Linked DNA regions of Astyanax mexicanus. The protein of the gene in region 2 purifies or fractionates together with the protein of the main gene of each other region. This does not show direct contact. Links are inferred from orthologs where the notes say so. Each region holds a gene or a part of one and is shown on either strand. Other genes may lie near its edges. The genes, in order: pdgfrb, nck1b, pak1 and wipf2b.

Evidence for each region.
Region 1: the proteins of nck1b (region 2) and pdgfrb purify together in Homo sapiens (affinity purification with western blotting; 3 studies listed by BioGRID and IntAct, with this or other methods). This does not show direct contact. The link is inferred for Astyanax mexicanus from reciprocal best matches to the Homo sapiens genes NCK1 and PDGFRB.
Region 3: the proteins of nck1b (region 2) and pak1 purify together in Homo sapiens (affinity purification with western blotting; 8 studies listed by BioGRID and IntAct, with this or other methods). This does not show direct contact. The link is inferred for Astyanax mexicanus from reciprocal best matches to the Homo sapiens genes NCK1 and PAK1.
Region 4: the proteins of nck1b (region 2) and wipf2b purify together in Homo sapiens (co-immunoprecipitation; 3 studies listed by BioGRID and IntAct, with this or other methods). This does not show direct contact. The link is inferred for Astyanax mexicanus from reciprocal best matches to the Homo sapiens genes NCK1 and WIPF2.

Annotation. Positions count from the first base shown.
Region 1 is NC_064409.1:67,927,255-67,934,377, forward strand, and holds the start of pdgfrb (platelet-derived growth factor receptor beta), read right to left. Parts: upstream 3,009-7,123; 5' UTR 2,942-3,008; intron 1-2,941. UniProt on the Homo sapiens protein: Tyrosine-protein kinase that acts as a cell-surface receptor for homodimeric PDGFB and PDGFD and for heterodimers formed by PDGFA and PDGFB, and plays an essential role in the regulation of embryonic development, cell proliferation, survival, differentiation, chemotaxis and migration.
Region 2 is NC_064413.1:49,212,520-49,219,554, reverse strand, and holds the start of nck1b (cytoplasmic protein NCK1), read right to left. Parts: upstream 3,018-7,035; 5' UTR 2,852-3,017; intron 1-2,851. UniProt on the Homo sapiens protein: Adapter protein which associates with tyrosine-phosphorylated growth factor receptors, such as KDR and PDGFRB, or their cellular substrates. Maintains low levels of EIF2S1 phosphorylation by promoting its dephosphorylation by PP1.
Region 3 is NC_064416.1:5,300,706-5,308,567, forward strand, and holds the start of pak1 (serine/threonine-protein kinase PAK 1), read right to left. Parts: upstream 3,002-7,862; 5' UTR 2,778-3,001; intron 1-2,777. Other genes in the region: aqp11 (aquaporin-11), read left to right, coding at 6,780-7,410. UniProt on the Homo sapiens protein: Protein kinase involved in intracellular signaling pathways downstream of integrins and receptor-type kinases that plays an important role in cytoskeleton dynamics, in cell adhesion, migration, proliferation, apoptosis, mitosis, and in vesicle-mediated transport processes.
Region 4 is NC_064410.1:61,184,497-61,192,491, forward strand, and holds the start of wipf2b (WAS/WASL-interacting protein family member 2b), read right to left. Parts: upstream 3,004-7,995; 5' UTR 2,945-3,003; intron 1-2,944. UniProt on the Homo sapiens protein: Plays an active role in the formation of cell surface protrusions downstream of activated PDGFB receptors. Plays an important role in actin-microspike formation through cooperation with WASL.

The DNA.
Region 1 (7,123 bases), on a different chromosome or scaffold from region 2:
CCCCCGATGAAGCCAGACGGCACCCCAGGGTGCCGCGGCACCCTGGTTGAGAAACACTGAACTAGAGAATTAAGCTTTGGATTAATGCAGGAATCTTTAGGAGTAAAAGTTATCTTTTAGTTATCTTTAAAGAAAGCCTCTCAAGATCCCAAATAAATTTGTAATACATATGGATATGTATTATAAAAAATAAAATATGGATAACTGTGTAATTTTACGTCTTTATGTATTAAAACAAGCTCTTGTTGATATTAAAAAAAGAAGAAAAGAATTTGAAAAATATTTGAAAGATGTTGGCAATATACCTGTTTTATTTTAAATGTTTCGAATCTTGTAAAAAAAAACGATTATGTTAATGTAATATGTTTGTTTTACTTTTAATTTTATTATTGTATGAAACAAAAGATGTGTTGAAGAAACATGACTGAAAAACTTTGTATGTGCTGTTTTTTGTGAAATGCTTTTGAAAAACTTCAATAAAATTTATATAAAATAAATAAAAGTTATAAATGTTGTTTTGATTCCAAAAGACATAAGAATAAACTGAGAAATATCTTACTGTTTCTTTCAAATTGTCCATATCTTGCCAAAAAACATGGTTTGCTTGATTAAAATTTGAATTATAATTTGATTATTTGATTAAACATTTTTGCCATTTTACACATTTACTCCTTTATAATAGCCGGGTCCCAACGCCATAAAAACTTCATAAAAACTGTCCCAATATGAACGGATGCAACTGATGTATCTGTCATGGAGCTTACTCAGAATTCTCTCTAAATGTACAATGTGAAAAATAATAACATCACATAAAAATGCTTAAAATTTATTTAAAATGTTTTCAAAAACTGTTTTTACCATTCTAATTTATTTTAATAAATAAAAAAGTACATATGTTTCTTGACGCAGTGCCACCGTGTGACGTCTGAGCATAACGTCAACGCAAAGCTTAATTAGACTGTTCTTTATGTGTGATGGATAGGCTGTTAAGAAGTAGCCTAAGAACACAGAATACAGATACACTGTATTGTGTAAAAATGTACTTAAGTTAAGATTTAAATCCAGAAATACTACATGGACATTGACTCCCCACACACATATAAATGGATATACATGTTTACATGCTTATGTACAAGCGCATATAGATACAAATATACATATACTGTACATAATTATACCTGATTACTTTATCTTACCTATCAAACAGTTTAGCCACACCCATTCACACTGAAAACGTTAAAACAAAAGTTTTTGGACTTTAGCTTTTAGCAAAAACAGCCAGTTTGTTTCTAAACAAACAATGATAGGATGAAAAAATAACCATATACAAATGAATTAGAATTTTCTTTGACACACATGGACATTGCTTTATTTCTATATTTTAAATATCCATATCTTTATTTTTTTTTTACTTTTTGACTATTTTAATTGGTCAGTTCTTTATTGTATCAAACTTACATGATAATTGGTCCAATAAAAAATTCTCAAATCCATACACACATGCAAAAAGTCATGGGACAGCAGTATGTAAATTAATCATGAAGTGTTATCTCTGTGAACGTTTTGGGAATGCCCAAACTCAGGCTGAACTCTAGAGGGATGGGACATTCCATTTCCTTTATCCACATTGTCATGTGTACAGGGTATACAGTACCAGTGAAAAGTTTAGAGACTCTGTCACATTCAATGTTTTTTCTTTATTTCTTTATTTAATTTATTTTCTACTTTGTAGATTAATATTAAAGACATGAGAATTAGTAATGAAGTTAAGGGACACATGTAGAATTACATAGTATACAGTTTAAAAAAAAAGTGTTTGATCTAATCCCAACTGACATGGTGATTTGCTTTGAGCTGGAGCTTCACAGCGTGAAGGAAAAGCAGCAACTATTGTGCAGCACCTTCAGGAACTCCTTCAATTTCATTGGCTCTGTACTTGCACACTGCACAATGACAATAAAGTTGAATCTAATCTAAGTTGAATCTAAAAAGACACCAAAATACTGAGAGTGTGCAGATCTGTCCTCAAAGATAATTCAATATAGCGCTTTTTACAACAAAGGTTGTCACAAAGCCGCTTTACAGAGAAAAACAGGTCCACGCCTCTTATGAGCAGCACCACAGAGATGCTATTTTTTATGGTGACCTGTGGCAAGGAAAAACTCCTTTTAAGAGGAAGAAATCTTGGAAGGAACCAAGACGCAGTCAGAGGAACCCATCCTACTCGGGTTGACCCGCTCAGTACAAACAGATAACAAACAAATAACAGAACATAAATGTGCTACATAAAATAATTTTAAGTATAAAACATATTCTGGTTTGTTTAAAACTTTTTTTTCTTTCTACAAAAATAATTTTACATTGTTTTTGTATAACTTTAATATAGTCTTCAATATTATATTTACAATGTGAAAAAAAATCATAAAAAGAAAGAAAACACATTGAAGAAAAAGAGGTGTATACAAACATTTGATTGGTACTGCTCATCATTAAAGGCTTTGACAGTGCAGCGCTCTTTAGCTTTCATGGGACATGGCAAAAGTCAAGGGACACAATACTGAAAGTTTCGTTGAAACTATTATATACAGTCTGGAACTTCAGTCCTTAAGAACATTCCCCAAAACATCTCTGTGTTTGTCTGGAGATCTTTTGTAAGTTGTTTTTGTTTCAAAAGCTTTCATGTGAGCTCTTGTTTATTTTACTCAGATGTCTACTAAGGGGTCCAGTTACTGATAGCAGCCCCAGCTCAGACCAACTCACCCCAACTCACCCCAACCTGAGCTGTAACACTGCCCACCACTTCAACATCTAACGACCAAGAACAACAAAGAGGAGGAGGGCAGACCAGGACAGAGCGAGACACCGGGGGAACAGAGGGAAAGAGAGAGAAAAACAGACAGAGCAGAAAAACAGAGGAGGGTGAAGATCTAAAGATCTGTACCAGAGTCTTCCTCGCTCTACTCAGATCATCTGCTGTGATGAGTCCTTCAGTGAGGAGGGTCTGTTACGGTGGAAATCCAGAAAACAAGTAAAGTAAAGATGGCAGACAGTCTCACACACACACACACACACACACAGGTCTCCTCAGCAACAGCCCTGGTTTTGTGTTTCTTTCACTGAAATCACGAGTGGCAGGGAAACAGAGCAAATCCTCCCTGGAAACTGGCAGCTCCTAAAGTGAGCAGAGAAAGAAAGCAAGGAACAGAGAGAAAAAGAGAGAGAGAAAGAGAGAGAGAGAAAAGTAAAAAGCAAAAGCTGAAAGGACTCTCAGGGCAGAAGATGGGGGGATAGGGGGCTCTGGAGGAGAGAAGGTGTATCAGCTGTGGTGCTCAGTGAGAAGGGGGCTACAGGAGTGTGAGCATACACTCCTACACACACACACACACACGTGTACACACACACGCACACACAGAACCATGGTCTGTTTTCACTCTTGGCTGTTTTCCTGCCTGCATGGTCTGTCATTCACTTTTCTATTTCTTCTTGTCTCTCGCTTAATCTCTTTCTCTTTCTTTCCTTTCTGACACTCTTTCACTCCCTCTCATTTCTTACTCTTGCTTACCTTCGCTCTCTTTCTCTTTCTTTCCTCTCTAAAACTATTTCTCTTTACAGTTCTCATCCTCAGTTTACCACACCTTGATCTCTTTCTTTGTTTCCCTTCTTTCTTTCTTTCTCTCTCATTCTCTTTTTTAACCTCTCTCTATTTTTGTCTTTTCTTCTATCTCACAAATCTGTCTCCTTATCTTTCTTTTCGCTCTGCTATTTCTCTCTGACCCTCTCATCTCTCTCTCTATTTCTATTTTTTCTTCTTTCCTTTTGTTTCGTTTCTTGCCATCATTCATTTCCATCTCATTTACTGGATGTTTTTCTCTATTTTTTTTTTCTCTTTCTTACTGTATATTTACTCTTTGACACTATTTATTCTTTTTTTCTTTCTTTCTTTCTGTCTCCTCTCTCTAGATCTTTACTGACTCATTTACTTTCTACCTCCTCTCTCTTTCCAACTTTTTTTTCTTTCTGTCATATTATTACTCATTCCTTTCAGTTCTCTCTAATCTCTTTTCTCACTTGATTCTACTCTTTATTTCCTCTCAGCCTTTGTTTTTCATTCTTTCTCTTTCGTTACCTCTTTTCTCGCTCACTTGATCTCATTCTTATTCTCACCTTTTCTTCTTTTTTGCACTCTTTCGCCTCTTTTCACAATATCTCTCTCTCTTTCTCGCTCTCTCTTTTCCTGTCTCTCTCTCTCTCTTTCAAGGAAGTCAGCAGAGTGGGCTGGAAATTCATAAGAGCTTCCAGCAGCTGAGTAAGGACTTTTCTCTTTATTGGAAAGACAAAAACAGAGTGTGCGAGTGAGCGAGTGAGAGAGAGAGAGAGAGTAAGAGAGAGAGAGAGAGAAAAGCTGGCACACTCACTCCTCTAATTGTGTGAGTGAATGCGAGGGCCCGTGAAGAACAGACAGTAATTATAAAAGACTGTGGTACCCAGCAGAACAGAGCCGTCACATCTCATAAACACACTCCCTGAATCTCAACACTGATGTAGCTCTTTGATTTTAACCCTTTAATCACTGCTACACTTCACTCTTCTGTTTACTGCAATCTGAGGACTGAACCGCAGTGTGCAGAAACACACCGTGCTGTACTCGAGCCAACAGCTGATTAAAGAGCTCTGAAAACATCCAGCGTGAAGTCGGCTCAACACAGGGCTAGTTCTCAGGCAGAGTTTTCATTACTAGGGGTAACTACACACTTAGCCCTTATAGCCTGGCCTGCCCTCCAAGCACAATGTCTCTTAGCACACACACACACACACACACACACACACTGTGCCCTGAACCCATTTATTAAAATAGTCACTCTTTTGGCAGAATCTTAAGCACTTTTTACCTGGTTAGACACAACTTGCAAACATATTTTCACCCACTAAAACACATTTTGCACTGTGATGCACTTGGGCACAACATAATGGTAAGCAAAAGTGAAACTCAGTGAAAGCACAGGTGTCTCAACTTAAACATAGCAACTCAAAATTGATCACACTTGTGTCTAAGGATAGAAGGCATCATTATAATCCAGGACAAGAAGCTCTGGTCACTGATGTTTCACTATGGACAGAAACCATCAGAAAGGCAGGGTAAGAGATGAAGAGGAGGTAGAACAATTATTTCAGATAAAATTTGGGCAACTGTCAGCATGTTCTAGTCCACGGTTTGACAATGAGGGAAACGGGACTTTGACTTCAGCCCAATATAAGCAGATTCACAGTGTCCATCATAATCCGAAGATTTAGACAGGAGAACAGGTAAATGTTTGCATTATGATTCAATACAAATGTGATTTATTACATTAATTTCCCAATAAACTTGTAGGACTAGTAGTGCATGTACGTTTTTTGTAACTGCATGTTTTTTTTTGTACTAGAAGTGCTAAACAGGAGTTTCACTTTGCTACCTGTGCTCACAATTATGCAGCCCAAGGGCATCACAGTGCAAAATGTGTTTTAGTGAGTGAAAATATGTTTGCAAGTTGTGTCTAACTACATGAAAAGTGCTCAAGGTTCTGCCAAAAGAGTGAACATTTAAATAAATGGGTTCAGGGCAAAGAGCATTTGCTTTAGACAACAGGGTTTAGTGTTTTAGCAATTGAAAAAAAACTGTAACTATATGTGGCCATATTTTAAACACTGGGAACTTGAAAAATCCTTTATTAACAGGCTATTGTGGTAGGTGTAAAGCTGGTTACGATAAATCTAAACTTTTACCAGAAAATGTAATTTTAGCTTTTTAGCGGGTACTCTCACTTCCCAGTTCAACATTAAAACCAAAATGTTAAAAACAAAACTTCACAGCATTCTGAGAACTGAAAACCACATTGCACCTGTGAATACTCTTTGCCCAGGGGAATGCCAGATCTGTTTTCAACGTGTGTTCTTGTGTATTTTTGCAACCGTGTGTTCTTATCATTTTCCTCTGTTTAAGCTGCTTTCTAATACTCAAGACAATAATGACCAAGAATAGTTCAAGTTCCCGGATGTGTTCTTAATCTTCCACAAAACTGATTTGCCAAACAAAACAAACTGAAATAAAAAGTATTTACTGTATTTACACTAATGATGAAAAGATGTTCAGACAAACAATCAATAGTTATTAAGCCCTTGTATTGTAAATACAATAAAATAGCAAGTACACAGCATTTCATTAATGTACACTTATTGCAAAGTTTTACCAACGTTCTGCCCAAGAACACAAGCTAGTTCTTTGTGTTCTTGGCATTGAAAGACACCCCAGGTTCTTATCCATTGCCTGCAGGTCCCTGTCTGGCCACTAGGGGTGGGCGATATGGCCCTAAAATAATATCATTATATTTCATGTTATTTTCACGATATCGATACTCTTGGCAATATGATAAAACACTGAAATATTATTGCATACGATATGATCTGACACAACACTAACTGAAATATTGAAAAAATACAAGAATTTTAATCGATTTGTAACAGAAGTCAATGATCCAGAATGTCACAATACTAATAATGCTCTCCAAATATCTTAATACACTGCTCAAAAAAATAAAGGGAACACTCAAATAACACAATATAACTCCAAGTAAAGTCAATTTCACCTGCTGTTGTGCAAATGGAATAGACAACAGGTGGAAATTATTGGCAATTAGCAAGACACATTCAATAAAGGAGTGGTTCTGCAGGTGGGGACCACAGACCACTTCTCAGAACCTATGCTGTCTGGCTGATGTTTTGGTCAGTTTTGAATGTTGGTGGTGCTTTCACACTCGTGGTAGCATGAGACGGACTCTACAACCCACACAAGTGGCTCAGGTAGTGCAGCTCATCCAGGATGGCACATCAATGCGAGCTGTGGCAAGAAGGTTTGCTGTGTCTGTCAGCGTAGTGTCCAGAGACTGGAGGCGCTACCAGGGGACAGGCCAGTACACCAGGAGACGTGGAGGAGGCCGTAGGAGGGCAACAACCCAGCAGCAGGACCGCTACCTCCGCCTTTGTGCAAGAAGGAACAGGAGGAGCACTGCCAGAGCCCTGCAAAATGACCTCCAGCAGGCCACAAATGTGCATGTGTCTGCACAAACGGTTAGAAACCGACTCCATG
Region 2 (7,035 bases):
TTTTTTTTTTAATGTGTATAGGTTAGCTTTACTTTGTAAATGACATTTGGCATGATAAATACAGCACAACTCAACAACCCATTTTTATTTTGTGCCTCACTAAATATTTTTGTAATGAAATATACTGTATCACACATGATGTACAGTTGTGGTCAAAAGTTTACATACACTTGTAAAAAAACATAATGTTATGGCTGTCTTGAGTTTTCAATAAGTTCTACAACTCTTATTTTTCTGTGATAGAGTGATCGGAACACATACATGTTTGTCACAAAAAAACAGTCATAAAATTTGGTTCTTTCATAAATTTATTATGGGTCTGCTGAAAATGTCACCAAATCTGCTGGGTCAAAAATATACATACAGCAACATTAGTATTTGGTTACATGTCCCTTGGCCATTTTCACGGCAACTAGGCGCTTTTGGTAGCCATCCACAAGCTCCTGGCAAGCTTCAGGTCGAATGTTTGACCACTCTTCTTGACAGAATTGGTGCAGTTCAGCTAAATGTGATGGTTTTCTTGCATGAACCCGTTTCTTTAGCACTGTCCACATGTTCTCAATGGGGTTTAAGTCAGGACTTTGGGAAGGCCATTCTAAAACCTTAATTCTAGCCTGGTTTAGCCATTCCTTTACCACTTTTGATGTGTGTTTTGGGTCATTGTCTTGTTGGAACACCCAACTGCGCCCAAGACCCAACCTTGATGGCTGATGGTTTTAAGTTTTCCTGCAGAATTTGGAGGTAATCCTCCTTCTTCATTATCCCATTTACTTTCTGCAAAGAACCAGTTCCACTGGCAGCAAAACATCCCCAGAGCATAATACTACCACCACCATGCTTGACAGTAGGCATGGTGTTCCTGGGATTAAAGGCCTCACCTTTTCTCCTCCAAACATATTGCTGGGTGTTGTGGCCAAACAGCTCAATTTTTGTTTCGTCTGACCAGAGAACTTTCCTCCAGAAGGTTTTATCTTTGTCCATGTGATCAGCAGCAAACTTCAGCCGAGTCTTAAGGTGCCTTTTCTGGAGCAAGGGCTTCTTTCTTGCACGGCAGCCTCTCAGTCCATGGCGATGTAAAACACGCTTGACTGTGGAGACTGACACCTGTGTTCCATCAGCTTCCAAATCCTTGCAGACCTGCTTCTTGGTGATTCTTGGTTGACTCTTGACCATCCTGACCAATCTCCTCTCGGCAGCATGTGATAGCTTGCGTTTTCTTCCTGATCGTGGCAGTGACACAACTGTTCCATGCACTTTATACTTGCGTATAATTGTCTGCACAGTTGCTCTTGGGACCTGTAGCTGCTTTGAAATGGCTCCAAGTGACTTCCCTGACTTGTTCAAGTCAATAATTCGCTTTTTCATATCCACACTGAGTTCCTTTGACTTTCCCATTGTAGCTTTTGTAGCTGAGTCTAATCACTGGGTCAAATGAGCCCTATTTAAATGGGCTCATGAGAAGTCAACAGCTGTAGTCAATCAGAATCACTTACAAGAAGTGAAGAGGCCATGACATGAAGCTAATCTGATTGACACAACTCGCTACATCACCAAAATTGACAATTTTTGTTGCTGTATGTATATTTTTGACCCAGCAGATTTGGTGACATTTTCAGCAGACCCATAATAAATTTATGAAAGAACCAAATTTTATGACTGTTTTTTGTGACAAACATGTATGTGTTCCGATCACTCTATCACAGAAAAATAAGAGTTGTAGAACTTATTGAAAACTCAAGACAGCCATAACATTATGTTTTTTTACAAGTGTATGTAAACTTTTGACCACAACTGTATAACTAGGTCTAGTCTGTATAATGAGAGGTTAAATGTGTATAACTAGTTCATCTTTAGTTTAATGTGATATTTGGTATTTGACAGGATAAACACAGCACAGGTCAACAACTTATATTTACTTAGATCCTCACTAAGATTTTAGCTAAGCAATATAATGAAACATCCTGTATTACACATGATTCATAGCTGGGTCTAATCTGAATACATCCTGAATAGCTCATATAGAAATATATGGCGTTAACAGCAGAAATGAGAGGTTAAATATATCTATATAGCTTATATATACACTTTAATGTGATGATATGTGGTTGGTATTTGGCAGTAAAAACACAGCACAGGTCAACAACCAATATTTATTTAGTGCCTCACTCATTTTGGTCTAATAATACTGGAATAGTTTAGCTATGAAATTTAAGGATAACATATAGAAATGTCTAAATAAAAGACATGGGAGATATGGGTTAATAGGTAACATTAGCTATAGTTACTGTTAGGGGTGGTCGATATGGCTCTAAAATAATATCACGATATTTCAGGGTATTTTTAAGTTACACTTAAAGCTTCACAGTAAATAATAGACTACTTTTAAGACAGAACAGCCCTATTATCACGACATGGATTTTTAATACCATGATATTTCTGTGTGACGATATATTGTATACGATATAATACTGCCCACCCCTAGTTACAGTAGGTATATAGGAATAGCTTGAGGTCAGTGAACAGTGGCAATGATGGTTAGCATGACAGCTAACCAACACAAAACAGAGCAGCCCGTGATTTAAACGGTGCCAGGCCGGCGTGATTCACCTCTACTCCATCTCTCATACATCTTACCATCTTATTTACAGACCGATAAAGTGTATTTAATTTAGAAAAACACGTTTTAATCCGGTTTAATCCCAGCAAGACCCCGTTTCCCTGTTTTTCTCATACTAAAGCTAGAAACAGCAGCGGGGTCTGCGGTTAGCATCTCAGCTAGCTAACTACTACAGCCATCCAACCAAACCACAGCCTCAAATAAGCTACTAAATAAACCTTTTCCAGGTCTTACCTTCAAACCAGCCTCTCCGAATATATTGCCCACGTTTATTCACACGATTTATGAACCATAAACATCCAGAAAACAATAATAATAGCGCTATATTAAACATTCAGCTAACGCTGCCCTCCTGCTCTACAGCCAACCGTCACTCGCCTTTATGGGACGCTATTCCAGCACATCCAGCGGGACAAAGCCCCGCCCCCCAACCGCTATCTAACTTCCCATTGGAAAGCCACCGATTCAGTCCCGACTCTCATTGGTTCGCGTATGGAAAAGCAGATCCTCTCATTTGAAGATTCCCGCGTCTATCATTAAAGACCACTACACGCTTATTCCCGCCTCTTGCTAACTTTTGTCACTGGGTGGAGTCAGAACGCTCAGACTCGATTCTCATTGGTTGTCAGCGAGAGAGAACGCCCCTTATTGGCTAATTTGTACGTCAATCATAAAGATGCGTGGCCCTGCTGCATGTTTCAGGTTTGTTTCCAATGGAAAGGTTTTTTTTAACCCTCTTTCTATGGCATAATGTTGCCCTCTGGCAACAAACTATTTTTTTTTCAACAAACCTTTATTCATTTATTTACTCAGCTTTAATATTTAATGTTACACAGTTTGCACGTGGCTTACATGTTATATATCTATGTAAATGGAAATATGCATATGTGCAAAATTAAAGCTCTGGAAAAAAACATAAGAGGCCACTTGAAAATTATGAGATTCTTCCATTTTACCACATTGAAAACCTCTGGAACATAATCAAGCCATCAAACCAAGCTGAACTGCTTGAATTTTTGCACCAGGAGTGGCATGAAGTTATCCAAAAGCAGTGTGTAAAACTGGTGGAGGAGAACATGCCAATATGCATGAAAACTGTGATTAAAAAAAGGATCTGAATCTTGAAATTACAATATTTTTATTTGGAATTTGGGAGAACTGTTGTCCGTATTTTACTGAATAAAACAACAATGTTCATTTTACTCAAACATATACTTATAAATAGCTAAATAAAAAAAGCTGATTCAGAAACTGAAGTCGTCTCTTTATTTTTTCCAGAGCTGTATGTAAAGAAGTATATTTGACTGTTTATATTATTACTATAAACATACATACTTGTTGTAAACTTTTTATTTGTTGCTTTGGCAGCTTTTGAGAGTTTATTTCGTACAACTTCTGCAAACTTAAGTAGATTTAAGTATGTGTTTTTTAAACACCTTTTTAATACATTTGAATTATGTTGTAAATATACTACTTTGCGTATTGATGTGCATATTGTGTACACCTTAAAGCTAGTTGGAAAAAAAACTACACTAAAGTGTACTGTAAGCAGTATTTATTCACTACTTTCTATATTTTCTAACAACACAACGTATAATTGGTGAGAGGAGGTCTCCAGGACTAGAAATGAGCACCTCTTCTGCATAATCAATTTCTGTTGAGTAGATGATAGTCTTTTTATGGAGGGTTTTGTTAGAAGCAAATCCAACCATTAATTATTACAGCTTTCCAAACCTTAATGAAGATCAAGAAAATGGGATACTCCAAATTGCCCAGAAAAAACAATTGAAAATTAAAAAAATCTAAATTGATTTGTATATGTACTGTATGTATAGGTATGTGTGGCGCTCTGTCCTGGGTAAATGCTGTAGTGCGCGATGCAGTTCTCCAGTTGGACTTTGGGGTTGTTTCCGGTTGAGAGTATGCTGTGCGCTATTGGCTGCTGCTTCTCATCGGTGTGTGGATGAGTGCAGGGTATGAATGGTTGTGTGTAAAAACTTATTAATTGTTAAGCGTCCTTGGGTTTCAAGAAAGGCACTATATATTTAACTTCATTTATTAGTTTCTTTGTTTATTTAAATATTTATTAATTTATTTTGTTATTTATGTGCCTTATTTATCAGACTTTCCATTTTAATGTCAAAGAGTGACTGAAGATCTCCACATTTAATGTGACAAGAAATCAAATCAGTTTAAATGAGGCTTCTGCAGCAGGCCTGTTTCATGTGGCATGACTATGTGTCATGTTATCATTATAAGGCAATATGCCATATCCTACATGTTTGACCCCAGTTATTACAGCATCTTTCCTGTTTGATAGACCCGGCATGTCATCCCTCCACCACTCTATTCTCTGTCCGCTTGCCATTAAATTAAACAGAAATACGTACTTGTTGATCGTTGCATTTGTTTTGACTGTATCTTCACTCATCCGTGAGCGATATTGTTCATACACACCTCGACCTCTTACAATCGAGGGAGTCGAATGGAGGGGCGCAGAACACACTCCAGGATGCAATCTGTTTCCTGCACAAACAGATGGACCCACTGTACATGTCCTAGAGCCCCCCCCCCCCAACCTCCCCCAAACACACACATGCTCAGCATAGTGCTACGTATGAACACTGTGTATGAACCATATGAACCGTTCATACAGTCTGGAACATGAAGAGTCACTGTAATAAAGCCTGAGCTAATTAGCTGTGAGCTAATCCTAATCAGAAAGACGTGGAGAGAAGATTTAATGAATTTTAGCTCGAGGTTATAAAATTAAAATGCTAATTTTGCTCCATCCGTAAAAGCTTTTGGCACATTATCATTTACATAACCCAACCACATGCACAAATATGAGCCAACATGGTGACAACAACAACTGTGATTTACAGCCTGTTTTTTACAGCCTTGCTATTACGCATTATAGGCCTGTTTGCAAAGCAGCCTATTTAATGGGTGACAACACCAGGGGGTGAATGTTAAGGAAGATGTACACCATGTGGCAAAAAGTATTTGTACGTAATTAATTTGTAAGTATTAATTACAGGTGCACCTCAAAAAAAATTAGAATATCACTGAAAAGTAATTCACTTTAAAATGTGAAAAAAATTATATTAGTGATAAAACTACTTTATGGTGTAATTATTTTATGGTTAAAGATTATGACTTTTATGACAGCCAATGAAAACACACAAATCAGTATCTCAGAAAATTAGAATATTATATAAGACCAATTGGTGCTTTTGGAAGTGTGGGCAGTGTGCCATCTCCTGCTGAAAATTGAAATCCACATCTTCATAAAAATTGTCAGCAGCAGAGGGAAGCATGAAGTACTGTAAGATTTTGAGGGAAATCAAAACTGCACTGACTTGATAATAAAACACAGTGGACCAACACCAGCAGATGACATGTCTCTCCTCTAAACCATCACTGATTGGTGGAAACTTCTCACTAGACTTCAAGCAGTTTGGACTGTGTGTCTCTTTACTCTTCCACCAGACTCTGCTCCCTTGATTTATAAATGAAATGCAAAATTTACTGATGGTCAGTGATGGTTTGGAGAGACATGTCATCTGCTGGTGTTGATCCACTGTGTTTTATTATCAAGTCTAATGAGTATAAGTCAGTGCAGTTTTGTTTTCCTACAAAATCTTACAGCACTTCATGCTTCCCTCTGATTAGCCTGAACCATATTGAGAAGACCTGCACGAAAAAACAGTGGAAATCATTGTTAAATTGTGATTTTTGAAATAATATTTCATATTGCTAATTGATTCAATGATCTGCTGACACACAAAAAATATATATTGTAAGACAATATTATTACATTGGCATGCTAAAAAGATATGAGATAACTGTTTTTACAGTAAATTGACCATGTGTTCAAAGTGTTATCTCATGACTTTGGAATTTCTACATGTCTAATGTTCCATTTCTGAAGTTGTGCAGGGATTTAATGTTCTTCGGTCCACAGTGTCACGTGTGTACTGTAAATACATCATGGAAGGCATTAAAATTAAAAATACTTTTTTTTTTTTAAATCTTACAACACTTCATGCTTCCCTCTGCTGACAACGTTTATGGAGATTATGCAGATTTCATTTTCCAGCAGGATTTCGCACACTGCCCACACTGCCAAAAGTACAGATTGGGGTACCACTTTAAAATAAGACTACCTTCATAAAGGGTTTATAAATGGTTTACTATTAGTTTATTAATGGTTACTAATAAGGTTGTAAATGCTTTAAAAATCATTAATAATCAGTTATAACACATACGTAGAAAAGGCAACAATATAGATAGCTGTGGGTTCACTATTTGGCAAACAACAGGTCATTGTTGCCCTTTCTACGTATGTGTTATAACTGATTATTAATGATTTTTAAGGCATTTACAAGCTAATTAGTAACCATTATTGACCATTA
Region 3 (7,862 bases), on a different chromosome or scaffold from region 2:
GTGGGAATCACAGGGCATCCCAGGACATAATATAACACATTAAATTGCCCACTATAACAATAACATTATTATAATACTCGATATATCAAGGCAAGACATAGAAAGTCTAGAGCACCTGTGCTTTAATAAATATATTGATATTTGACGCCACGTATCAATAATATATCACAAACTACAGCTAAACAATATTGTGATACTGATATTTTGTCCCACCCCTATTAATTATTATATATATATATTTTTTAAATAGTTTGTATACAAATTTAGATAATGGGGACATATTGTACCTCTTGTGGGCTCAGAACCAAGTCGCTGCGCTTTCCTGCGCTGTGATGCAACTCAGCAATGCTGCATCAGCAGCAGTTCAAAAAGAGGTGGAGTCTGACTTCACATGTATCAGAGGAGGCGTGTGTTAGTCTTCACCCTCCTGGTGTGTTGGGGCATCATTAGTGATAGGGGGAGTCCTAATGAGTGGGTTGGGTAATTGTCTGTGTAAATTGGGGAGAAAGTGGAGGAATGAAAAAATATAATAATAATAATAATAATAATAATAATAATAATATTAAAAACTATATAAATCATACCTCTTTTTACACAGAATAGAAAGAAGAATAGGTATATGGGCTGTACAAAACACATTCATGATGTCCTGATGCACAAAATCACTCTCATATAAAGAGATCTTAAGAATTGTTTCAAATCAGAATGAAATTCTTATAATAATAATAATAATAATAATAATATTCAGAAAGAAGAAGTTCTGGAAACAGTATTTTCCAGATATCTTGAGGCAGAAAGCAATTAATAATAATACTTTCTGTAGATCAGTTTATGATTTCACTGGAAGTCAATGTAAAAAGATTGTATTCCAGTTTTTTCAGGAGCATTTTATTGGTCAATTTTCATAAAGGGCAAAACCGGTGTTTTAGTGGGTGTAGTGCGCTGTGATCAGCAATTTAAGTCAAATGCCTGTTTTCCACTACTGTCACATTTAATATTATTGTAGAAACTTTTTTTCACTGTATTGTGACACCTCTAACACACACACACACACACACACTCTAGTAGATCAGTGAGGGAGTAAAAAGATCAGTTTGGATCATCTCTGCAGAGACCCAGATTCAATTTCATGCATGGTTGAGACTCAGGCGTGTAACTGCAGTGTATCAGATTGTGTTGTATTGTAATGTAATGTATTGTACTGTATCACAATAGAGTGTCACATCATGAGTAGTGTGTAGTATTGTAATTTTGCAACAACAACCTGAAGCATTTCATGCATCATATCAGATACCCATGTTTTTCTGTGATGCTGTAATGAAATTTAAGTGTTTAAAGTCTTGTAGGTTAGTCAGTTCACTGTTTCTTCAAATGCATAATGCAAACAGCTCAGTATCTATTGGTTAGGTCATTTAAAAGTGTGTTCTTCATGAAAACAGCATCAACTATGAAATAAACAGATCATTTCTTCATCACCTCTTCCAGTCTACTAGATGAAAGCATCATGGAGGGGAATTCAAATGTGGATCAAATTGAGCAACTTGTACCAAAGGAAATTCAAATAAAACATTTATTAAAATAAACATTCAGAAATCTTCCAACAATACACTGAAGTTCTTTAACTTTACTTTTACAACTAGCAAAAGACATAAATGAACACATGCTAAATGTACTCACAGATTATCAGAGATTATTTTATTCTAAATGACAGATAATTATCAGCAATAGTCCGGATCTAGAATGAAGTGTTATATTTATATATATATATATATATATATATATATATATATATATATATATATTGTTACGACCTGGTCTAGGTCAGCCCGTAACATAGAATAACGAGGCCCCCATGCCCTCCTGGTTCCCCAACCACACATACTCCTGTTAGTCAAAAGGTTTAGTTTATTTAACAAATTGTAAAGAATACAAGGCTTATTTTGTTTATAATAAAATTAATACATCTTCTAAATAAAATAAAATAAATTATACATATACACATACTATAGTTGTTCACCCATAGTAGTGATACGAGAGACAATAACAGCTCAGCAGCCACATGTCTTGCCTGTCATGGAGCGGGTTTCATCTTTCAGGTAATGAAACATTTCTTTTCAGCAGGACAACGCTTGTCCACACACAGCATATATATATATCATATTAATATCAAATTATTATTAATATACAAATTATTCATTCCCATGGCTTATAATAAGTCAGAGGATTCAATTTTATGCATCTTATTAGGATTTTCCAGTCTCATCATGCCTCAGGCACTCCAGTATATGTGTATGGGCGGAAAGGTGGAATGGAAAATCCCAGTAACTAAGAAGCTGGAGAACATGAGGTCAACTCTAGTACCATACACACACACACACCTACAGCTAAGACCCAGCAGTAGAAGCCTCAGACTCTCCAGTATGTGTATGGACTGCACCTTTTAAGGTGGAATTTTAAGGTGGAATGGAAAAGAACTGGAGAACATGAGGCCAACTCTTGTACCATACACACACACACACACACACACACACACCTACAGCTCAGACCCAGCAGCAGATAGCAGGACCTGCTGTCTGTCTATCTGTCTGTATGTCTACCAGTCTGTCTACCAATGCCTACCACCTAACACCACGCTCCCTCCAGTCTGGGCACTGGTAGACAGATAGATAGACATACAGATGGACAGACAGATAAATAGATAGATACCTAGACAGATAGAGGGGTACCCGGCCTGAGTGCGTACCCACGCGTGCCAATCCCTCCCCAACAAAACTCACCTCTGAAACCGGAGCTGATCCGAATTATAAATCCCAATCCGGTTTTCTTCTTGTTCTCCACCTCCTCTCTCCTTCTCTCTACCTCCTCTCTCCGCGTGCACTGCCCCTCTCATTCACCTTAAACTTGCCGGATCCTCGCTATTGTGTGACATGCACGCGCACACACACACATACACACACACTCTCACACACACAACCCTGCTGCATTGAGCCCCGCCCACCCTGCGCTCTGCTAGTGGTCGCTTCCAAATTCGGTCCGTCAGCGTCAGTGCCATTTTTACGCATCCCACCCGTATTCGAAGTGCCCCGCCTTTCCTGCGCTCTGATTGGTCTGCATGATCAGGAGGCGAGCATTGTAATTGGACGGTTAGGATATTATCGCTGCAGTATACATTTTTAATGTATACATTTCTAATTATACAACTATTCAATGTTTTTATAAAAGTAAACGTTTTATATTGTATTTAATAAAAAAAACAAAGACTGTGCACATTTTACCGGTTGTTAAGTAGACGTAGTTTAACGAAATCCACAGAACTGGTCGTGATGTGACACAAACAGTATATATTTTACGAAAATGAAAATAAAATAGAATTTCTAAATTTCACTGTTTTTTCTCAATCAGAAGGGCCTTAAGTTATCAGTAGTTCAAAAATCTCAAAAATAAAATAAAAAAGAAGTGGACAAATTGGCAAATTGGCAAATAAAAATACAATATTCTATTGAATAGAGTCTTTACTCTTCTAAACTCTTTACTAATCTTTACTTTTCCAGTGAACAATTTTAGTTAGTAAAACGTTTTCTAACAATTTTGATGCCAACGTTTCCCAGAGTCATGTCATCCGCTGGTTTTGGTCCAAAGTCAGTACAGTATTTTCCCGCAAAATCTTACCACTTCATGCTTCCCTCTGCTGACAACTTTTATGGAGATGCAGATTTCATTTTCCAGCAGGACTTGGCACACTGCCCACACTGACAAAGGTACCAATTGGTCTTATATATTATATTTATTTTTTTTGAGACATTGATTTTTGTTTTTAATTGGCTGTGATCCATAATCATCAACAATAAAATAAATAGATCACACTGTGTGTAATACATCTATATAATATATGTGTTTCACATTTTAAACTGAATTACTGAAATAAAATTACTTTTCAATAATACAATTAATTTTTTTGAGAAGCACCTGTATATAATATTGGGACTGCTGCTTGTGAATGTATTGTTTTGTTCAGTAAAACAAAATTTCAGTGAAATAGACAAGCTGGAGTTTAGCGTTTATTTTCTATCCTGATTTAAGGGACAAAAGGCAAAAAAAATGCTCAAATAAAAACCTCTAACTAAAAACTACAAAATGTACTACATTCATTGCATATATATCAACCAATCCCATCAGTTCTACCCTCCTCACCGTCCACCCGGCGGAGAGAGTATGACCTAACTACTAGCCAATAGCAGCAGAGGGGGCGGGGTTTGTCGGAATAGAGGTGGGAGGTGGACGCCTGTCTGTCCCCTTAGGCCGGTGTGGGCGGGGCTTTCATGGAATATGGGCACAGCGAGGGCGGGGCCTCTTTAAATATTCATGAACCCTATTCTAATACTACTGCCAGGCAGAGCTGACCAACGGTGACGTGTTCTACTCAATTTCCTGTAAGAAGTGCTGATAAGCACCGTCCAGGAATAATAAATTTTATTAAAATCTATGGGTTTATTTGTTTTTTTTTTGTGTCAATATTTTTTGCAAGATATTATTTTAAACTGTTTTATATATGTTATTTAATCGTCACTGAACATTAGAGTTCTATGGCATGAACAAAATATTAAAACATATTTTTAAAATGCTAATTGTAGTCAAAACTCTCAGTAGAAAAAAATCTCAGGGTTACAATTACCGTTTTAAAATGTTTTGGTAACGTTGCTGCAATGGCACTTTTGCTGCCATTTGCTGCAATGTAATTTTTAGTTTTGAAATTGTTACTTTTAAAGTTTCCATAATGTTAATATTCGTCTAGCCGGAATATTACGTGAGAAACGTTCTAATAACGTTGTGTTACAAACATTTATTATGTCACACTTTTTTAAAACGTTCTTGAAACATTATTTATGTTCTCTCAGTAGAACAATTTCTAAGGGTTACAATTCACGTTTTTAAACGTTCTGGTAACGTCGCTGCAACGTCAATTGTATCAGTGTTTTAATTTTTAGCTTTGGAATTGTTTTAACGTTTAACGTTTCCATAACGTTAGTATTCGTCTGGCTGGGAACGTTACGTGAGAAAGGTTCTAATAACAAACATTTATTATGTCACTCTTTTCAGAACGTTCCTGGAACATTATTTATATAAAATTACAGGCTAACCTGTATAAGAATGTTTAGCAGCATTTTGAAGATGTTCCGGGAAGGAACATCTTCAAAATGCTGCTAAACATTCTTATAACGTTCTCTGTTGGTCAAAGCACTTTAACCAATTATATATATATATTTTTTTAATATATATTACATATGTAGTATCACATATTACACTAGGAAATTAAAAAGTGATTTTTGGTCAGCTTACTAGACATTTACCTTGCTATAATCATCTAAACGTTATAAATAATGCAAGTCCAAACGTTATCGTGTAGATACTGGTCTGTGATTTATTGTTGATCGTAAATGTAAGGCTGCGATGCTGACATTATTGATTTCCCTTGAGAATTACTGCAAGCTGAATGAGCTGGACACAGACTGCCATTTCTGCCTGTTAATGGAAATAACGCTGTTAGACTGTTACACAGTGTTCTGGCATCACCTTCAGGCCAGCTGCAGTATTGATATTGTCTTGTTGGAGAAAAAGACACTGCAAGACAAGGATGTCACCTTTCCTTGATATCCTTGAATGATTTTATGATATTAGGGAAGAGACGTATTTGAATATTTCAATCATTTTCTCACCATTTCTAAAATTATATATAAAGCTGTAGGGAAAAAATAGGGACCACTTAAAAATATGAGTTTCTTTGATTTTACCAAACTGAAAACCTCTGGAATATAATCAAGAGAAAGATGGTTAATCACAAGCCATCAAATCAAGCTGAACTGCTTGAATCTTTGTACCAGGGGTAAATGCATAAAGTTATCCAAAAGCAGTGTGTAAGACTGGTGGAGGAGAACATGCCAATGCATGAAAACTGTGATTGTAAACCAGGGGTATTACACCAAATATTGATTTCTGAATACTTAAAACTTTATGAATATGAACTTGTTTTCTTTGCATTTTTAAGGTCTGAAAGCTCTGCATTTTTTGTGTTATTTCAGCCATTTCTCATTTTCTGCACACAAATGCTCTAAATAGACCAATTTTATTTGGAATTTGGGAGAAATGTTGTCAAGTAGTTTATAGAATAAACCAACAATGTTCATTTTACTGAAGCATATACCTATAAATAGCAAAATCAGAGAAACTGATTCAGAAACTGAAGTGATCTCTTATTTTATCACAGAGCTATATATGGTTGTCTTGTCTTGTCAGGTCTATTTCTGTCTATATTGTGTTCAACTCTGACTATAAGCTTCTTTTCCCCACACAAATTATACAAGTTAGTTCCGACCTCACAATCTGACAAACGTTGTAAGTCTATGATATTTAATATGTTATATGTATTTTATGTAAACTCCACCAGAAGCATGATAGGAATTAATCTCAAAAAGAATCTAGTTGCAGTCTTGCAAATAGTGCATGGACAGCATTAATAGCATTAGCAGGTGATGCTGCACTGCATTCTGGTTACTGTGGTGATGAAAACTAGTGGTGATGATGTCCAATCATCGGACAGTATTTAAGTGTGGATAGAGACTGACAAATCCCAAAACAGGGGGGGGCGTGGTTTATCGGGATACGGGCGCAAAATAATAGGCTAAAGCCGTTAGCCTGTGTTTAGCCGGTTCTCCGGAGGAGAGATGGAGGATTAACGGGAATCAGGCGTGAATCAGGCCACGCACGCCCCACCGGACCTCCCCATGGCGGACCTCGCGGTTTCTCTGCTCGTGCTCGCGGGAATCGTCCTCGCGTGCGAGCTGGCGAGGCGCGCGAGCGCGAGGCTACTGTTCGGGGCCGGGGCAGGTACCGGCGCGTACGCGGCCGAGCTCATCTCCACGCTGCAGCTGTGCGCGTGCACGCACGAGCTCAAGTTGCTGGGAGACGCGGGGGTCTCGCAGCCCCCGCCCGTGGCGCTCGCGCTCACATACGCCACGGCAGTGGTGCAGGCGTTCACAGCGCGCGGCGCTACGTGCAACCCGTCCGGCGCGCTCGAGCGCTTCCTCCGGCGCCGGGACGGTGACTCGGACTCTAACGGTAAAGGATGGCGAACTCTGGTTGCGCGCGTGGCCTGCCAGTTCGTGGCCGCAGTGGCGGCTCGGGACGCCGTGCGCCGCCTGTGGGCTCGCGGGCTCTCGGAGCTGCACGCGCGGCACTCGGCATCAGCGTTCAAGTGCGCGAGCCCCGTGGGGAGCGCGCCCCTGCTCGCGGCCGCGGGCGTAGAGATGGCATGCGCCTTTGCTGTGCACGCCACCGCTTCGTGCACGCGCGGCTGGCGGGAGACGTTCAGGGTGCACGCGGTGGCGGCCGTGATCACAGCGGCTGCCTATGCAGGTTGGTCAGTCTCTCTCTTTTGGCTGTGTTCCAAATCGCACATTTAGCACCCTAAGTAGTGCCTTCCTTTAGTTCCCTGTGTCCCAAATCACACCGAGTTCAGAAAGACTGATGTGAAGCCATTGAGTAAGGCTATTTAAAAAAAATATATGGATTCCTATTGTTAAATAAGTTTATACACAATCCAGGTAACAATCCATCTCCTCACCCACATTTAATAAAATAGCTATGTGTCCACTGCCACACACTTTGGGCACGCATTTCCACACAGATCCACTTAAACACAACAGTGAGTGGAAATGGAGGAGCTACTGAACACAATGTCATGTGACCAAGAAAGCCAAAAAACTCACTGGTCCTCCTGTTTTTTCAATTGCAGTCCGGATGCAAGAATTTTATCACTGAGTAGAAGTGTGAAACTAATCTGGATAGGGTTATGGACATGGAGGCAC
Region 4 (7,995 bases), on a different chromosome or scaffold from region 2:
CCTGAAGCTGCGGGAGTCTCCCGCATTTCGGTAGTGGCTCCCTGATGCCCGCGAGTCACATATAATCTCCCGGAATTCAGAACGAGAGCCCCAAACGCGCACACAGGCGACATACTTTTTCTCTCTAATCGCGTGTGGGAATGAGAGAGAGAAAACAGAGAGGGTTCTGATTGGCCTGTTCTCTGCAAAGAGTCTGTGAGACAGCCAATCAGTTTTTAGTGTGGGCAGGCAGTGTTTTTCCCCCCTCCCGGATGGGATTTGTTCAGTGAGTGAGAGAAAGCAGATCATGGTGGAGGCAATATTAATAATTATTGTAATATGATATGAAATGTTTTTGAAATTGTGCAATTTTTGGTGATATTGTAACTGTCAATTTTTAAATTTTTTTAAAGGCTTTTTTTTCCAAAAAAAAAAAAAAGGAAAGCAGAGGCAGGGCCTTCCAAAAAGAAAAAATATAAAACTCATTTCACCTCTGAATACTCTAAATTTAATTAAAAAAAAAAGTAAAATAAATTAATATAAAAGTAAATTTACGTCAATTTTAGTCAACTTATTGTTACTTACTGTAATTTAAAGTTGGGAGGGCCAGAAGAACTAGCTGAAGGTACTGTGTGTATGAACACAAAGTTCCCAGTGCCTCATTTAAATATCTGGAGCTTGGGATGCACTAGGCGGTTCCCTGTTGCAGCTGCATATATGCTGATTGTAAATGAATATATTTCAGTAGAATGTAAATATATTAAAGAAGCTTAGTTGGGCTGGAGTTTGTCTGCAGTTCTCTTGAGTCTCGTAGGGTGTGAAGAGTGTGATGGACATTTTTTTCCTTATTATTAACTAAAACGCTCTCCCATTATTTTAAGATAGTAAATCATTGTTTTGAGATAGTAAGTCGTCTTCAGATAGTAAGCCATTATTTTGAGATTCTCTCTCATTATTTGAGATACTTTCTCATTATTTGAGATACTATCTCACTATTTAAAATACTATCACATTATTTTGAAATACTCTCATTATTTTATAATAAAATAGCATTTTGAGATACTGTCTCATTATTTTTAGATACTAAGCCGTTATCTTGAGATATCTCAGAAATAATGAGATATCAGTTTAATTTAGGTTGCAGGAATGGGCTTCCATATAAAACAGCATTAACTATTATTAAAGATATTAAAGATTGGGCCCATTTTTCGTAACAATAATTGTGTTTTTGTATCAGACTGAGGTTAAATCAGTTAAGATTCAGTGCAGCATCTCAGGTGTAAACAGCAGGCCTGTGACTGTGTGACCAGCCTAGGCTAACAAGTGCTAACTAGCTAAAATCTGTTTAAATCTGTCTTATAAAGTGAGAAATTGGCAAATAACAGAGAAGAAGTGTCAGAAGATGCGTAAATGTGTGTAAAAGTGTTGTGCCAAGTCCTGTTTGTGGCTAAAATAGCAAACATTCATGCGAAGAATTGTCCAATCCACCTTAAAGGCCGCAGAGAAAATGCACCATTTAAGGTGGACCAGGCGCAATATTTAGCTTATTCAGCTAACCCAAGGTAGCATTGAACGACTCAATAAAAACAATACAGCCAGCTAAGCTAACTAGCTAGCGCTAGCTGGCTAAGGTAAGGTTAGCTAAAATCAGGCTAAATTAGTTAAGAAATTGGCAAATAACAGAGACGGAAATTTCGGTGGACGTGTAACTTATATGCGTTTAAAATGTTGTTTCTTTTTTGTTGCTAAAACTGCAAAAATACCTGCAGTTTGCTTATTATGAAAATTGACCATTCCACCTTAAATGCAGCAGAAGCTAAGCTATGTTAACACTCAGGCCCGTGGTGTTTAAAACCCCGTTTTTGTATGATTTCACGGTTTCTTTGCACACAGTTCTGCATATTTGCACCAAAAACACAGTTAAACCCTTTTAAAACGTCTCAATAAAACCAATAAGGCTAGCTAAGCTAGCTAACTAGCTAGTGCTACCTAGCTTAAATCGGTTTAAATTCTGTCTTATAAGTTGAAAAATGACAAATAACAGAGAAGCAATGTCAACAGACGTGTAAATAAGTGTAAAAGTGTAGTCAAGTCTTGTTTGTGGCTAAAACAGCAAAACTATCTGCAGTTTGCTTCTAATAAGAATTTTCCGTTCCACCTTAAATGCAGCAAAAGCATTATGTTAGCCTATTCAGCTAAGCTTAAGTAGCATTCAGGCCTGTGATGTTTAAAATCCGTATGCATGTATAATTTTACTTTTTCTTTGCACATATTTCTGCATATTTGCACCAAAAACACCATTAAACCCGTTTAAAACTGCTAAATACAACCAATGAAAGTAGCTAGTTAAGCAAAGCTAAGCTAGCTAACTAGCTAATGTTAGCTGGCTAAAGTCAGTTAAATTTGGGTTAATTTATGTCTTATAAGATAAGAAACTGGCAAATAACAGATAAGCAGTGTCGAAAGACGTGTAAGTAAGTGTAAAAGTGTTGTATCAGGTCTTGTTTGTCGCTAAAACAGCAAAACTACCCGCAGTTTGCTTATTAGAATCGACCATTCCACCTTAAATGCAGCAGAAGCAGCACCATTTAAGGTGGAACGGGCGCAACATCCAAGCCTATTCACCCAAGTTACGGTAGCTAGCCAACATTCAGGCCTGGGGTGTTTAAAATCTCCATTTCTCTTTTATTTCACGTTTTTCCTGCAGATTAGTACCTCTTTGCACCAAAAACACCAATAAACCCGTTTAAAACGACCCAATAAAGCACAACAAACACGAGACACATATAACGTAAAATCACAGCGCGCGCAGTGCTCGTGCAGGATGCAGAACCGCACACCTGAGCGCGAGAGCAGGTTCTTGCTCAAGCTCAAAGCACCGCTTCGCGTCTAGACTCGAGCCAGCCGCACCCGCAATCCGAATTATAATCGGATTTAAAGAATAATGTAAATAAATGAGCCCTACTTTTCTCTCTGGCATCCGCGCGCGCCGCCACGGGCTCCCTCTATCGCATGATATCACTGCGCTTCAACCGGAAACACTTCCGAGATCAAAGCCCATAGATAGATTTATTTATTTATTTATTTATTTATTTATTTATTTATTTATTTATGTCAGTGTGCATGCACAGTACCAGTCAAAAGTTTGGACACACATTCTCACCTAATATTTTTGATATTTATTTATAGTTTTATTTTTTTTTTCTACATACAAAAAAGATGACCATTGAGTCAAAGTTCAGAATTTAAAATATTAAAGTATACTGGAAAAATAGTTCCAGCATTACACATATATAAAAAGAACATAAATTAATAGATACATTAGAAAAGAGTAAAAGTACAGTACATCAACGAGTCAATACATAGTGCAATTATATCTTGATAGGTCAACACATTGACAAACCAGAGAAAAAGAGAGAGAGAGAGAGAGAAAGAAAGCCAGACGAAAGCCAGAGCACCCTTGGGCGTCTCCTCCCCTCACCCAACACAGACTTCACCCAAGCAGTTATACATTTATGCAAATGACTTGTAAGTAAATCAATAGGATTTAATGCAATTTAATGGATTCTATCAATATGACATATATCAGCAGAGTCCAGTTAACAGTTTGTTGTCCAGTTCCAATGATATGATCAGCTCCAGCCTGTCTAGGCAACAAGTTCTTACCATGGTGTTTTTCAGCTCTGTGTCCATCATGAACACAGCAAACAGTCCTTGTGTTTTGCACAAGAATCAAACAGTCCTTAAGTGTCCTAAAGTCTGTGAGAAGATGAAACAGAAATCTGCCACAAAAACTATACATCTTTGTCACATATAACTAGGCCTGTCACGATAACCCTTTTTCAGCAAACGATATGTTGTCCCAGAAATTATTGCAGAAACAATATTGTTGGAATTTTAAGACTGGCACTAACATAATCATACCTTAATATCATGAAGGAATTACACCCTTTTAAAGACAATAAACTTTCCATTGCATGTTATATAGGGAACCATGAGTCTGCCCCACACCATGATGTGCACCCCCGGTCTGTCCCAGCTGGCCCATGTTGGACCAGCCTAAAGACCCTGCCTTAAGGCCCTGTCCCACTGCGATTGCGTCTAAATATCCACTAAAGTACGTACAAATTTATCAGAAAACACTGCGTCCACTGAGTGAACGCGCTGCGTCCAAAATATATACGCACTGCGTCCAAATGGTGAAATTACATCCATATTCCGTCTAAATTGAAGTTGGACGCCGACTTCCAAATTTGTACGTCGACTTCCACTCTTTGGACGTCCACTTCCAACTATATATGGTTGTTTTTTCTAGTGAATCATCATTTCTTCTTGAGCTACAAGAGAGAGCACATCTATTCTCTTCTACACAACCATGGACCACAGATTCCTTGCAGTGATGGTGCAGCAGCAGAACATACTCCTCCATGTGCTGGACCAGACTGGGAGGAGGAAGAGGCGGCAGCAGGAGAGGACTGTATGGGCCAGCCCTTGGATTGTACGCCGGGTGGAGTTTGGACTGTATGACCGGCTGATGGTAAAGCGATGGACGCCAGAAAAATATTTTTATGGACGTCGACGTCCACCTGTACGTGCCGTCCAAATATCCACTAAAATACGTCCGTACTGCGTCTAAATATCCACTAAATTACGTCCATATTAGTCGCCGTCTATTCCGAAAATTTTGGGAGGTACCAAAACCACTTTTGCGTCTAAAGTGGACGGCAACGTCTAAACTACGTCCACTTGGACGGTGCCGTCCAAATATCCACTAACATACGTCCAGATTGCGTCTAAATATCCACTAAATATCCACTAAACTGCGTCCACTGAAATTTGGACATACTTTAGTGGATATTTAGACACAATCGCAGTGGGACAGGGCCTTTAGCCTTCACTCGAGAGATACGCTGATGTGAGAGAAAGGCTGAGGCAACATTAACCCAAGAGGCACTAAAGTTAAGCGTCTAGAGCCGCACTGTGACAATATATGTTGGTGAATTTTGTAAGAGCAAACACAATAGACGAGATCACGATTATTAAAATGATTGAGGTCATGTTCATTTATTGAACGATAAGTCGATAATGTAGTTATTGTGACAGGCATATGACCAAAATGATTGAGTCTTGACTTTCACTTGCTGTGTGTACGTATTGATAATGTTGCTTCATGTGCTTTCGGGAATTGTGTGTGTTGAAATGAAAGGCTGGTGTTTCTCAATCTATGTCCTGAAGGCACCATTTCTTGTTCTTTGAGTAGTTTTTCTTGCTGTAACTTGCTCTCTGCACTTCTGGAAAGATTGGTTAAGTTCATTATATTGGATTGAGAGTGGTTGGAGAAGGCAAAGTAGTAAACAGGACAGGGCAGGGTGCCTTCAAATTAAATGAAAACACGGACGAAAATAAAGTTTTTGACAACCTATTTTTCATGACGGCAACAAGAAAGAACTAAATACTGTGATGGAGAAATTGAAGAATACTGGAGAATTCCTGTATGTAAGAGACAAGGCCGATGGTCAGTACTGGATGCTGGTGATCTTCAAGCCCTCAGGTGGCGCTGTATTAATAACAGACTGTAATGATTCTGTACTGGACATCACTTCAAATATTACCAGTTCTTACCAGCGGTTCTTACCACTGGTTATTGACACCAGTTCTTATCACTGGCTCTCACCACCAGTTCTTACCACTGGTACTTACTACTGGTACTCACCACCAGTTCTTACCACTGGTTCTTACTACTGGTGCTTACCACCAGTTTTTACCACTGGCTCTCACCACCAGTTCTTACCACTGGTTCTTACTACCAGTTCTTACCACCAGTTCTTACCACTGGTTCTTCCCACGTGTTTTTACCACTAGTTTTTTACCCCCAGTTCTTACCACTGTTTTCTACCCCCAGCTCTTACCACTGTTTTCTACCCCCAGTTCTTACCACCAGTTCTTACCTCTAGTTTTTTACAAACAGTTCTTACCACCAGTTCTTACAACCGATTCTTACCACAGGTTCTCACCACTGGTTGCCACAAGTTCTTACCACCAGTTCTCTTACAACCGATTCTCACCACCGGTTCTCTTTCAACCAGTTCTTACCACCAGTTCTGACCACCGGCTTTTACCACCAGTTCTTACCAGCGGTTCTTACCATCTGTTTGTACCACCGGTTCTCACCACCAGTTCTTATCACCAGTTCTTACCACCGGCTCTTGCCACCAGTTCTTATCACCAGTTCTTATCACCAGTTCTTACCACCGGTTCTCACCACCAGTTTTTACCATCAGTTCTCTTACAACCGGCTCATACAACCAGTTCTTACCACTGGCTTTTACCACCACTGGCTCTTACCACCAGTTCTTACTACCAGCTCTTACCACCGTTTTTTTACGACCGTTTTTTACCACCGGTTCTTACCACCGTTTTTTACCACCGGCTCTTACCACCAGTTCTTACCATCGGCTCTTAACACCAGTTCTTACCAGTGATTTCTACCACCGGTTCTTACCACCAGTTCTCTTACAACCTGCTCTTACCCCCAGTTCTTACCACTGGCTCTTACCACCAGTTCAGAGAACCAAGAGGAATGCCCCTCATAGTATTTCTCAATTCAGATTCTACCTCAGTATGTGAGAAAAATGGGGGTGTAAAGTCAACTATCATCAAAATGACATGAGAAGTAAAGCTTTCTCATGCCAGTGTTTCTCAGTCCGTGTCCTGGAGCAACATTCCCTGCATTCACTTGCTGTGTGTACTGTGGCGTGAGGAGGCGGGGGAACCGTGGGTCCGCCCCATGCCGGAACTTAAGCAGCCGGCTGGGACAGGTATAAAACTCAGCCTCAGCTCACTGAAGGGGCTCTTGAATGGGGAGCTGAGGGCTGAGGCTGCACGGACCTTTAACTTAAACTAAAGTTCATTCTACAGACTCTAGAGCCCCATTGGGCTGAGTATGTTTATTTGAGTTTGTTCTGGGTGTGGTGGAGGGCGTTTAGGCAAATAAAAGGTACGTTTTGAGTTCATTTACTCCCCGTGTCTGTGTTCTCTGTGTACTTCCTCCTTCTGGGTCACTGTGGTCACGCCCCTTACCCCAGGGGCCTACCACAGTGGTGGAGAATGCAGGCACAGAGTCAGAGACGGCCGGAGCCACGGGAACAGGGTCAGAGGCGGCCGGAGCCGCGAGAACAAAGTCAGAGGCGCCCGAAGCCACACCTGAGTTTCGTTTTGTTTTTTTCTAAAAAAAAAAAATAAATAAATAAATGCCTCGCGGGAGGAAAAAGGGGAGGCCCGGCCCCGTCTACTCACCGCAGCTCTGGTGTGACGCCGGGGAATTCCCCTTCGCCTCCTTACTCCTCGAGCCCGAGCCCGCCCCCAGCTACGCTCCACCGCTCTGCAGCGGTGACGCTGGGGATTTCCCCTTCTCCTCTCTCCTGCCGGAGTGGCTCCGTCAGCGCTGGGAGGACGCCAGCGAGAGGCGGCTGCAGCAGCAGTGGGCGCCTCGCCCCGAACTCGGCTGGTGCGAGTGGTGTCCGAGCCCCAGACACCGGGAGGCCGAGTGCTCTCACACCGGCCCGGACTTCTGCTGCTGCTGCATCTTCCCGGAGGAGGAGGACGAGTTCTGCGCCTCCCTGCCCGGCCTCAAGTCCGACTCCACCCCGCCTCTCCGGCGAAACTCTTCGGCGGCCGAGTCCGAGTCGTGGAGGGGGGAGAACGGCCCCGAAAAGAGCGAGGCCGACCCAGAGCGGGAGCCGCCACAAGTCCCGGCTACCGAGAGCCGCCGCTCCACAAGCCCCGGCGCTACCGAGAGCCGCCGCTCCACAAGCCCCGGCGCTACCGAGAGCCGCCGCTCCACAAGCCCCGGCGCTACCGAGAGCCGCCGCTCCACAAGCCCCGGCGCTACCGAGAGCCGCCGCTCCACAAGCCCCGGCGCTAACGAGAGCCGCCGCTCCACAAGCCCCGGCGCTTCCGAGAGCCGCCGCTCCACCTGTCCCGGTGCCCCGAGCAGCCGCTCCACCTGTCCCGGTG